Linked DNA regions of Macaca fascicularis. The protein of the gene in region 2 binds, or shares a complex with, the protein of the main gene of each other region. Links are inferred from orthologs where the notes say so. Each region holds a gene or a part of one and is shown on either strand. Other genes may lie near its edges. The genes, in order: RHNO1, RAD9A and HUS1.

Region 1 (3,744 bases), on a different chromosome or scaffold from region 2:
ACTTATTCTCTCCCTGAAAAGCAACTGTAATTTTTTGACATTTGTCATCTGCAGAGTTCACAGGCCCGCCACACCTCTACCTCCAAATCTCAGTTTTACTTTCTTTTTTTTTTTTTTTTTTTTTTTTTTTTGAGACGGAGTCTCGCTCTGTCGCCCAGGCTGGAGTACAGTGGCCGGATCTCAGCTCACTGCAAGCTCCGCCTCCCGGGTTCACGCCATTCTCCTGCCTCAGCCTCCCGAGTAGCTGGGACTACAGGCGCCCGCCACCTCGCCCGGCTAGTTTTTTGTATTTTTTAGTAGAGACGGGGTTTCACCGTGTTAGCCAGGATGGTCTCGATCTCCTGACCTCGTGATCCGCCCGTCTCGGCCTCCCAAAGTGCTGGGATTACAGGCGTGAGCCACCGCGCCCGGCCAGTTTTACTTTCACTTCAGATCTTTCCAGGCTTCCCTCTCTCCCCGCATCGATCAGTAGATATTATTCCTCTTTTTCCACAGGATATCTAGGTCTTAATTTTTTCTTCTACTTTCTGACCAGCCTGATATTATTATTGCCAACACTTTCTTGCCCGGGAAACTTCCAGAGTGGTCCTCTGAGCCATCTCCATCCTGAGCGGGGAAATCTTGCTACATTCTCAGGACCCAGGAGAAGGGCCCTGCAAATGGGTAAGACGGAGGCAGTGCTGCCTAGTGGTGAGAGCCTGGGAGCAGGGGAGTATGTGTGCAGGTTGGTCTTTGACTCAACGTAGTACAATTGTGCTCAGTGTTCATCTCAGCCGCAGCCGGCCTAAGAAAGGCCACCCCAGCCCTCCCGAGGCCGTGGGCAGCGTGCAGAGGTCAGACTTCCAGGGAAGGCCAAGGGGCGCTTTAAGTAATGAGACGGCCCCGGCCAGGAGGTTGGATGCAGAAAACATTTGCACCCGGGCTCAGATTCTTCCCGTGTGGCCCAAACCTCCACTCGTGGCCCGTGCCCTGCTGCCAGACGCCCTGACCTCCGCGCCCGGAGGCCTCGCTCCCCGCCTGTGCCCAGGCCAGGCCCGGGACTCCATTCCTGTATCCCGCTCACCTCCAGACTGCAGTCGCCGCCGCCGTTGGGCCGTGGCTCCGAAGGCGGGCTCCGGGCTCCTCCAACCTGCGGGCCGAGCCAGGGCCCCCGGACGGGGGCTCGCGCCGGACCGGCCGGGTCCCCGGCGGTGCGGGCCGGGTGGGAACCCCGGGGGATCCCGGGAGGGGAGGGGGTCCCTGGCCGGGGCCGGGGGTGGGGTCTGGCACCGGAGCTTTCAGTTTGTTCCGCTGTTTGAAATTGGCGCCGGCGGAGCGTTAAGGTCACGTGACGGAACGTCGCCAATCGGCGCCGGCCTTGTCTCGGCGTTCCGGGCTCGAAGGCTGTGCGATCTGACAGGAGCTGCGGCCCAGTCCGGCCCGGGCTGGTAAGGCGGGCCGCGGGCCGGCTTGCGGGGGAAGAAGTGGCCGTGGGGCCTGGGAGGGGCCGGAGGGGTCCCCGCCGCGTGGGTGGGCGAGCGGAGGGACAGTCTGGGGACGTGCGGAAGCGGCGCGACAGGCCCGGGTCCCTGGGTCCGCTTTCCCTGCCGCCATAGTCACGCCGGGCGACACGCCCCCGCTTCCCCTCGGGCTGCTCTGCTCCCCTCTTCCAAGGTCGGCTTCGGTTGATTTCCTTCCTGGGGAAAATCGTACCCCGTTTTCGTACAGTGAACGATCGTCTGCTCCCCCCGATTAGACTGAGGGTTCTTTGAGGGCTGTGTATTATCTCAGCTTTCTTCCATCTTGAAAAAAATGTCGGCCCCACGAACCCTACCTCTGCGCGAAATCTTCAAGTACTGACCTGTCTTTGGCTCCTCCCAAAGCCAAGCCTTCGGCTATGGTAGACGGTGGTGCTTTCTTTATTTACTTAGTCAACCAGTCTAGTTGAGCACCTGCTCTGTGCCAGGTCCCGCCAGGTCCTGAAGATACAATGGCAGACAAGGTTCTTTCCTTCCCCCGGGCTCACAGTCCAATCGTGGAAAAGGGGCACTGATATTTTAAAAGAATCAAATAGTCCCGGCGCGGTGGCTCACGCCTGTAATCCCAGCACTCCGGGAGGCCGAGGCGGGCGGATTACCTGAGGTCAGGAGTTCGAGACCAACCTGGCGAACATGGTGAAACCCCATCTCTACTACTAATAACAAAAAAAATTAGCCGGGCATGGCGGCACATGCCTGTAGTCCCAGTTACTTGGGAGGCTGAGGCAGGAGAATTACTGGAACCTGGGAGGCGGAGGTTGCAGTGAGCCAAGACTGCACCGCTGCACTCTCCAGCCTGGGCAACAAAGTGAGACTCTGTCTCTAAAAAAATAAAATAAAATAAAATAAAATAAAAGAATCAAATAAACAAATGTGGGCTGGGCATAGTGGCTTACGCCTGTAATCCCAGCACTTTAGGAGGCCGAGGCGGGTGGATCATTTGAGGTCACGAGTTCGAGACCAGCCTGGCCAACATAGCGAAACCACTTCTCTACTAAAAATTAGCCGCGCGTGGTGGTGCATGCCTGTAGTCTCAGCTACTCTGGAGGCTGAGGTGGAAGGATGACCTGAGGCCGAGAGGTGGAGGCTATGGTGAGCCGTGATCACACCACTGCACTCCAGCCTGGGTGACAGAGGAAGACACCGTCTTCAAAACGAACAAACAAATGTGGCATTATTGCTGTAAAGTGAAACATGAGGGGTTAATGATACTTTGAGTATTTACAATAAGATCTTGAGAGGTAGGACAGGAAAGGCTTTTCTAATGAGAGCTTGGTGTGAGATCTGATGCCTTTTACAAAGAAAGGAGGGAGCCGCGCTAAGCAGAGGGAATCAGGCGTGCAAAGGCTGGATGGCAGGAGGAAGCACAGTGAGTACAAAGGCTAGGGAATATCTGAAGAGTTTGAGCTAATTGACCTGAATGGAGTGTGGTGTGAGTTGAAGCTGGAGCCAGGGGAAGCGGGGCCTTAGCCATACAGAGAAGTTTTGTGCTTATCCAAGAATTAAAGGAAGCCAATCATAAGCTTTAAGCAGAAGTGAACCCAGGTCAGATTTGCATTTTAAAAGGTCAGTCTATAGCGGGGTTTGCTAGAGTGGATTAGGGCGGAACAGTTGGATATTGCAGTACTCCAGGCAAGAACTGCTGGAGCTTGAAAAATGGTGGCGGGGAGAGAGAGAAGAAAAAGAAGGAGACAGCGTGAAAAAGGGGCATTACGAAAACATGTTTAAGAGGTAAAGTTGACAGGGCTTGATGGTGGGTTGGATGGGAAATAGAAGTGTCAAGATTTTTGGCTGCATAGCTGAAGGAATAATGACACCATTCCCTGACCAAGGGCCCTGGAAGATAATCACTTTGGCCAAGAGGTGGGGGTGGGGTTGTCAAGGGAATGATCATGAATTCAGTTTTTGTTTTTTTACTACAAAGCAATGCTCAGAATGAGTTCAGTTTTTTTTTCAAAAACAATTTATATATTTATTTTTACTAATCTTTTTATTTTTTAGAGACAGGGTCTTACTTTGTCCCCCAGGCTGAAGTTCAGTGGCATGACCTTGGCTCACTACAACCTCAACCTCCTGGGCTCAGGTGATCCTTCCATCTCAGCCTCCTGAATGGCTGGGGCTACAGGCACACGTCACTACACCCAGCTAATTTCCCTCCCCCCCCGCCCCCCGAGACTGAGTCTCTCTCTGTTGCCCAGGCTGGGGTGCAGTGGCGCGATCTCGGCTC
Region 2 (3,744 bases):
CTGCACAGTTCCATGTACACAGTAGGTGCTCAAAAAATATTCATGGAAAGCCAAGCACGGTGGCTCACACCTGTAATCCCAGCATTTTTTTTTTTTTTTTTTTTTTTTGAGACGGAGTCTCACTCCGTCGCCCAGGCTGGAGTGCAGTGGAGCGATCTCAGCTCATTGCAAGCTCCGCCTCCTGGGTTCACGCCATTCTCGTGCCTCAGCCTCCCGAGTAGCTGGGACTACAGGTGCCCACCACCACACCCGGCTAGTTTTTTTTTGTATTTTTTAGTAGAGACAAGAGGTTTCACTGTGTTAGCCAGGATGGCCTTGATCTCCTGACCTTGTGATCCGCCCGTCTCAGCCTCCCAAAGTGCTGGGATTACAGGCTTGAGCCACCGTGCCCGGCCAATCCCAGCATTTTGGGAGGCTGAGGTGGGCAGATCACCTGAGGTCAGGAGTTCAAGACCAGCCTGGTCAACATGGTGAAACCCCACCTCTCCTAAAAATACAAAAATTAGCCAGGCATGGTGGTGTGTGCCTGTAATTTCAGCTACTTGAGAGGCTGAGGCAGAAGAATCGCTTGAACCCAGGAGGCAGAGGGTGCAGTGAGCCGAGATCATACCACTGCCCTCCAGCCTGGAAGATAAAGTGAGACAAGATGTTTGTTGGACGAATGAAGGCTTGTTTGTGAAATTATTGGATGTTCCCAGATTTTTAAAATATATACTTTTTTCATTAATTTAAAACTCCTTGTTACAATTTTCTCAATTAACACAAAGCTTGAACTCAATGCAAGCAGCATAGAATTCTTATGCATTCCTTACAACCATGAAAGTAACCAGTCTTATGTAAATACATAATTCTATATTCAGCTGCTTTTGCATCATAACATGTAAGTACTCATATCCTCTATGAACCTTAAGTGTCTACCCTGCTATGTGGCATTAAGCCTGCATCCTCCCTAAATGCTGTGTGGTAACGCTATAATTCAGCCTACAGCTGAATGGAGGCAATACACTGGCCTTGAGCATCCAACCTTGGGTAAAAAGACTCAGGTTTCCCCATCAAAATCAGCCTCAAAACCATCCTGCCTAGCCAGGTGTGGTGGCTCACGCCTGTAATCCCAACACTTTGGGAGGCCGAGGTGGGCAGATCTCTTGAGGCCAGGAGTTTGAGACCAGGAGTTTGAGACCAGCCTGGCCAACATGGGGAGAAACCCCATCTCTACCAAAAAATACAAAAATTATCCGGGAGTAATGGCACACGCCTGTAGTCCCAGTTACTCAGGAGGCTGAGGCACGATAATCGCTTGAACCCAGGAGGAGGAGGGTGGGGTGAGCAGAGATCACACCACTGCACTCCAGCCTGGGTGACAGTGAGACACTGTTTCAAAACAAACAAACGAACAAAAACCAAAAAACAAAAAACCGTCCTTCCTAGGAGAATGAACTTGCCCAGAAATAAAGTGAATTCAAAAATTAAGAAAAGGTCTTATGGTGGCTAGGGACTGTTGTAGAAATTGTCAGAAACGATAGCTGGGACCTGGGATAGCACTTCCTCTATGCAGTCCCTGGGCTAAAAACTTACATGTGTCATCTCATTTAATCCTCAAAAACCGGAGGTAGTATTAACATTATCCCCAATCTTGCAAATGAAGCAGCTGAGTCTCAAGAGATGTAATAAGTTTGTCCAAAGTCACAAACCCAAGTTTCTCTGACTCTAGATCCCAAGCTGAGAGTCTTGCTCAGATCATCCCAGGTTCCTTTCTTTCTTCTTGCACTTGGGGTGCAATAAGGGGCAATGGAGCCAGCAGTGTGTAACATACTGCACCGTCGGAAGAGACGTTAGGGATCATCCGTTTCAGCCTCCTTATTTTACAGAAGAAGGAACTCGTAGGTCACACAGAGCCAGGGACGGCTCTGCAACGGAATCGCAATGGGCACTAGAATTCCAGTCCAAGCCTCATTTTACAGAGCGGGGGAACCGAAGCCCACAGGGCCTGGGGGCCTCCCGGGTTCCGAATCCACCAGCGGCTGAGCCAGATCCAGCCCCGGGCGCACTCACCGCCCTGTCTGATTCTACCTCCGCGTTCACCTGAGCCGCGAACCCTCCCCGTGGGCTGCCAGCTCCCGGGAGTACCTGTCGGCCGCGCAAAGGCCCTCGGCTCGCGGTGACAAGACGCCGGCGCGGGCGAGCGGGCCTTCGCGGGCCACAGCCGGACCCCGGCATCGCGGACCCTGGTCGCCTCGCCAGCCCCTTTCCTCAGAACGGCAAGGCCTCAGGAGCGTGTGCACGCCGGGACGCCCCAGATTATTTGGAAGCGCTGGTCCCGGAGGCAAGGCCGGCTTGGTCTCCTCTCCTCAATCCCCCTACGCCGCCCCCTGGACCTTCTGCAGACCGGGTCCCAGCCCCAGAGTACCTCAGGAAAAAACCACACCGCGCCTCGCTGAGTCAAGCGGCCGGGACTCTAGAAGGGGCGAGGTTCCCATGGCAACGAGGGAAACTATTTGCGCCTGCGCAGAGGCGCTAGGCACGCTGGGAAATGTGGTTTCCGGGTTGTCCCTGGAAGCTAAAGGAACGGACACAAGGTGGCGCGCGAACGTTGCGGTCGATGTGGCTAACCCGGGTCCCCAGCTCCCGGGCGCTGCGGGCACAGGAGAGGCCGCGAAAGTCTGAAAGGCAGTTTCTCTGAGGCGTTTGGGATGCGGAGTGAAGAGAAGGCAGAGTCTCTTCCGCGTGGTTGATTTTGCCGTTTGAAAACTTGGCCTAACGAGGGACCGCCCTGTCCGGGGCGAGGGCGACCGCTTCCGAGGCCCCGCCCCAGCCTGGGCTGAGCGGGGCGCGGCGGAGGGAGGACGCTCTGACGGTGGGAGCTGGATCCGGAGGGAAGCGCGCCGCGGTCGTGCTGCAAGGGTTCCAGGTCTGGTCTGGGCGACGCCTCGCGCTGCTGAGGCTCCTGTGCGGGGTGGGAGTTGAAAGCTGGCTCCGGGAGCAGCAGTCATCCTGATCCTCCCACCCGCGAGCTCCGAGCACTTCTAGATCCAGGTCCCGCCTTGGGCGGAACTGTGCAGTCAGTTGACTGCCCAGGAGCCACCTTCCCCACTGCCGAGTTAGGCTCTTGGAATCAGAATCTAGAAACCCAGGATCTGATTCCGGCTCTGTTAGACTAAGTAGTTACTTCTCTGAGCCTCAGTTTACTCATTTCTAGAAAACGATGGTATTGGGCCGGGTGCGGCGGCTCACGCCTGTAATCCCAGCACTTTGGGAGACCGAAGGGGGTGGAGCAGCGGAGGTCAGGAGTTCGAGATCAGCCTGGCCAACATGGTGAGACCCCCGTCCTCTACTAAAAATACAAAAATTAGCCGGCGTCGTGGCACATGCCTGTGATCCCAGCTACTCAGGAGGGTGAGACATGAGAATCACTTGAACCTAGGAGGCAGGCGGAAGTTGCAGTGAGCCAAGATCGTGCCGCTGCACTCCAGTCTGGGCCACAGAGTGGGACTCTGTCTCAAAAAAGTAATTAATTAATTAATTGCTTAAAAACGGTGGTAATCATAATGCCTGCCCTTTCTCCCTCTGGGAGTGTTGCAAGATGATGACATTGATGTGTAGGCTGGGTAGTCCGTTAAGGACACAGGCATTGCCATTCACTATAAATTGGTGCACTTTCTTGGAAAGAAAGCCTTTGCTTCAAGAATTCTAGAAGTTTTATCCTACAGATTTAGTGATCATGTGTGCATGAAAAAGTATATACAG
Region 3 (3,744 bases), on a different chromosome or scaffold from region 2:
AAAAGGTCCTCAATATTCCAGTGGAACAAACAGATCAATAAAAATGCAAACAAATGAAATTGCATGACATGCTCATTAGAGTCGTGAGAAAGCAAACCACAGTGACCAGAGTGAGTGTGGGGGAGTTTCCTTAGACTGACGAGGTGACATTTCAGATACCACCAAAAGCAGCAGCCGTGGGAAGACAGGAACAAGGGGACAGGGTTTCAGGCTGGGGAAACAGCACATGTAAAGCCATGAGGCAGAAAGAAGCAAGCCTGCTATGTTGATGCAACCAAGAGAAGGCCACTCTTTGGGCATAGGACACTCAGGGGGCTGCAGTTTCTAAACAGTTAAAAGGCAAACTATATTTACTTCTAGGGGCTTCTATGAGACTCGCAGAACAAAATATCTTGCACTTTTGGACCTAAAATATTATACGTTACTATCTTGCTTTTCCTTAATAGGAAAAACATACCAAACTTATGTTGTGACATGAAATACCCTAATTAGCTCTAAGAACTGCCTGACTGCAGAGTCGAGAGTTATGAAGAAAAGTTGGGTCGGGCGCGGTGGTTCATGCCTATAATCGCAGCACTTTGGGAGGCCTTTGAGAGGACGAGGTAGGTGGATCACTTGAGGTCAGGAGTTCAAGACCAGCCTGGCCAACATGGTGAAACCCCAACTCTACTAAAAAAATACAAAAATTAGCCGGGTGTGGTGGTGGGCGCCTGTAATCCCAGCTGCTTGGGAGGCTGAGGCATGAAAATCACTTGAACCTGGGAGGCGGAGGTTGCAGTGAGCCGAGATCGCACCACTGCACTCCAGCCTGGGTGACAAGAGAGAGACTCAGTCTCGGAAAAAAAAAGGAAATACGAACCTCATTCCATGAGTAACAAGAGCAACTCTGGGTTGTATGTGTGCGCATGAGGTTGTGTATTTGTGTGTTTGGAGGACAGCTGTGCACTAAATTCATCTGGCAGTAGCATATAAAACATATGTGTACTGAACAATGAGGGGCCATTTAAAGGTTATCAGAGCAGATGAGGCAGGGTAGGAGTGGGGAGAAAATGTGTCAACGGTGAAAATGCATAGAAACCATGATTTCTAGACAAGGTGACAATACCACTACAAGAAATAGAGAGGCTGGAAGTTTTATGGCTTGGAAAAAGCAGCAGTCTAGCCGAATGCATAGGATAACAACACTATTTTAAAATGAGGAGGAACTGACTCTAATGCAAAATATAGTTATGGACCAGCTCTTTAAATTTAAATAAACCAAATAGCTTTCAACAATATTTATTGCTAAAGAGGCTAGGCTAACTATGTCTATTCCTTCGAAGCCAAGACTTCTGTGGGAAATTTCTGAAACCCTGACTCTCCTACTCACCAGCTCCACGGAGACTGTGAGGCAGGGAAAGTGTTTATTAGTCAGTTTGATTTTCAAGGCTCTGGCATTCTGGGCAGTTTTCAAGGCTCGAGATAAGTTTTCCGATGTTAGCTCTAAATAAATCTCATTGTTTTCTGCAGAGACACCCTCCATTTGAAATTCGTTGAAGAAGTTCTCCTAAGGGAAAAACATGGGGGATGAGGCAGGGCACTTGTGGTCTTTCCAGAGACAATCTGCAGATTGCAGGCCTCTCAGAAGTTTTTGCTCACCTGTTCCAGCTCACACCACATGCTCACTCCTCCATTAGCCAGCTTGTCACAAAGGATGAAGTTAAGCTTATCAGGGCTGATGCGGAGGGTGCAGGTTTTGGCAAGCTTGGCTATCATGTTACTGATTCCTAAAGCAGGGGTTAAAATAAGGAATCACTAAAACGCACATCATGTATCCTAGAGACCAACTTATTTTACAGAATTTCTTGTTCATCATGGTGCAACTTCTCGGTGGAAAAATAACCACTTACATTGGTATCACACTGGAAAGTATGATGTCACGCAATTCTCCCAACAAACCCGGGGAGATGTACAGCATACATCATCAGTGCTCAAATAAAAAAACAGGCACCTACTAGTCATTCATTCATTTAACACGAACTTATTGACTACTGGGTACCGCAGTACAGAGTTCAATGCAAGGTTAGGCACTGTCAGGGTGGAGGGACGAATGGGGCCTTGAAGGAATGTCAATGCCTGATAAAGCCGTCTGTGGGAGCAGTGGCCGCTTGCTTTTAAAGCCGCGTGATCGGAATCAAGTTTCAGAAACGTCCCTTGAAAGCCGCCTTCACCCCAAGTGCCCTACGATCCGACCCGCGCACTCCCGGCCCATCATCCCGCGGCCTCCACCAGCACCCCTATGCCTGCCCCATCCTCCCGCGGCCCCTCCCGCGGCCCATCTCGCTGCCCCTTCCACCGCCCATCCCCGCTCTGATCTTCCTCCGCGGTCCCCACCGCGCGCTCACTGCTTCCTTCCGTTCCTCCCTCGCTCCCCTCCGGCCTCCCTGCTCACGTGTGAAGTGGTTCAGACAGGCCCCGTCCACGATCTTAGCCCGAAACCTCATGGCCGCGCCTGCCGCAGCCGCGACGGCCTCTGTGGGTAACAGATAAGTGTCGCGCCCTGAGTGTCCCGGCCCGGAAACACGGCGGCGCGCACAGTGGTTCCGCCCGGCTCGGGCTACCCGGCTCTTGCCAGGATTGCCTCCGGGCCACGCCCCTGGGGTGGTGGGGCCAGGGGTCACGCCCCAGAGAAGGTGGGGTCACGGGTCAAGGATCACAGGTCACGCCCCGAGGAGGTGGGGTCCCAGTCTCCGGGTATGCCTCGGCGCTCCGGGGTAATGTGGGATCTGCTTTTAGTGAGGCGGTGGCTTCAAGCCCCAGATTTGGGGAGGTGGTTCTGAGAATTCACGTTTTGAAAGAATTTTGTGACACCTACTCCAAGTGCTATTTAAAAATATCCAAATAAAATTAGTCGTTTATAAAGGTTAAACAATATTATCTTAAATATACCTCTCTAAGGTAGAGCAGCTTTAAACCCTCTAGCCTCCGATGACGGTACCGGTACTTTGGTATTGAAGCATCTTGGTTGATTAAGGTTCTGAAAACTGTTTTAAATGACTTTTTAAAAAATTTAACATATTACTGGCTAGTTGGTAAAGACGGGATGCTTAAAGAACACTGACGTTAAGTGGTAATTCTGCAGTTTGCCTCAAGATGAACTTTATTACATCCGATAAAATTCTTATTAGCATAAATAATGTCATTAGGTTTTTTTAAAAGGAAAGAAATTTTTTTTTTTTTTTTGAGACGGAGTCTCGCTCTATCGCCCAGGCTGGAGTGCAGTGGCCGGATCTCCGCTCACTGCAAGCTCCGCCTCCCGGGTTCACTCCATTCTCCTGCCTCAGCCTCCCGAGTAGCTGGGACTACAGGCGCCCGCCACCTCGCCCGGCTAGTTTTTTGTAGTTTTAGTAGAGACGGGGTTTCACTGTGTTCACCAGGATGGTCTCGATTTCCTGACCTCGTGATCCACCCGTCTCGGCCTCCCAAAGTGCTGGGATTACAGGCTTGAGCCACCGCGTCCGGCCCAAAAGGAAAGAAATTTTAGAGGGGGAAATGAAGCAACAATTGTATCTAATTTGGTTTTTCAAAGACTAAAGATTATCTATGTTAATTGTTATTTTTAATGCCCTCTGCAAATAGGAGCCTAGACCGTTGTCTTTAACTTGACATATAGAATCAAGACAATGCAGATGATGATGATGATGATGATGATGATGATGATGATGATTTTGAGACGGAGTCTGGCTCTGTTACCCAGGCTGGAGT

What was found.
Region 1: the proteins of RAD9A (region 2) and RHNO1 are in contact, whole or in part, in a crystal structure (PDB 8WU8), measured with the Homo sapiens proteins. The link is inferred for Macaca fascicularis from reciprocal best matches to the Homo sapiens genes RAD9A and RHNO1. Residues at the interface, in NP_004575.1 of Homo sapiens: Val41, Ser44, Arg45, Ser46, Ala47, Tyr48, Glu130, Leu132, Gln133, Ala134, Val135, Glu165, Tyr181, Glu183, Thr216, Phe217, Cys218, Gly244, Pro246, Val261, Leu262, Ala263, Thr264, Leu265, Ser266; in NP_001239428.1 of Homo sapiens: Thr88, Lys90, Phe91, Pro92, His93, Leu94, Thr95, Phe96, Glu97, Ser98.
Region 3: the proteins of RAD9A (region 2) and HUS1 are in contact, whole or in part, in a crystal structure (PDB 3GGR), measured with the Homo sapiens proteins. The link is inferred for Macaca fascicularis from reciprocal best matches to the Homo sapiens genes RAD9A and HUS1. Residues at the interface, in NP_004575.1 of Homo sapiens: Leu157, Pro158, Pro161, Val176, Ala186, Lys191, Ala192, Met193, Val194, Thr195, Glu196, Met197, Cys198, Leu199, Gly200, Asp203; in NP_004498.1 of Homo sapiens: Thr84, Asn87, Arg90, Ala91, Lys93, Thr94, Phe110, Ser121, Ser123, Ser126, Arg127, Ile128, Val129, Thr130, His131, Asp132, Ile133, Pro134, Ile135.

The regions. Positions count from the first base shown.
Region 1 is NC_088385.1:3,748,225-3,751,968, forward strand, and holds the start of RHNO1 (RAD9, HUS1, RAD1-interacting nuclear orphan protein 1), read left to right. Parts: upstream 1-1,353; 5' UTR 1,354-1,427; intron 1,428-3,744. UniProt on the Homo sapiens protein: Involved in microhomology-mediated end-joining (MMEJ) DNA repair by promoting recruitment of polymerase theta (POLQ) to DNA damage sites during mitosis.
Region 2 is NC_088388.1:7,055,920-7,059,663, forward strand, and holds the start of RAD9A (cell cycle checkpoint control protein RAD9A), read right to left. Parts: upstream 2,458-3,744; 5' UTR 2,408-2,457; exon of another isoform or gene 2,128-2,407; intron 1-2,127. UniProt on the Homo sapiens protein: Component of the 9-1-1 cell-cycle checkpoint response complex that plays a major role in DNA repair. The 9-1-1 complex is recruited to DNA lesion upon damage by the RAD17-replication factor C (RFC) clamp loader complex.
Region 3 is NC_088377.1:82,497,561-82,501,304, reverse strand, and holds the start of HUS1 (checkpoint protein HUS1), read right to left. Parts: upstream 2,535-3,744; 5' UTR 2,484-2,534; coding exon 2,432-2,483; intron 2,386-2,431; exon of another isoform or gene 1,890-2,385; intron 1,767-1,889; coding exon 1,639-1,766; intron 1,547-1,638; coding exon 1,370-1,546; intron 1-1,369. UniProt on the Homo sapiens protein: Component of the 9-1-1 cell-cycle checkpoint response complex that plays a major role in DNA repair. The 9-1-1 complex is recruited to DNA lesion upon damage by the RAD17-replication factor C (RFC) clamp loader complex.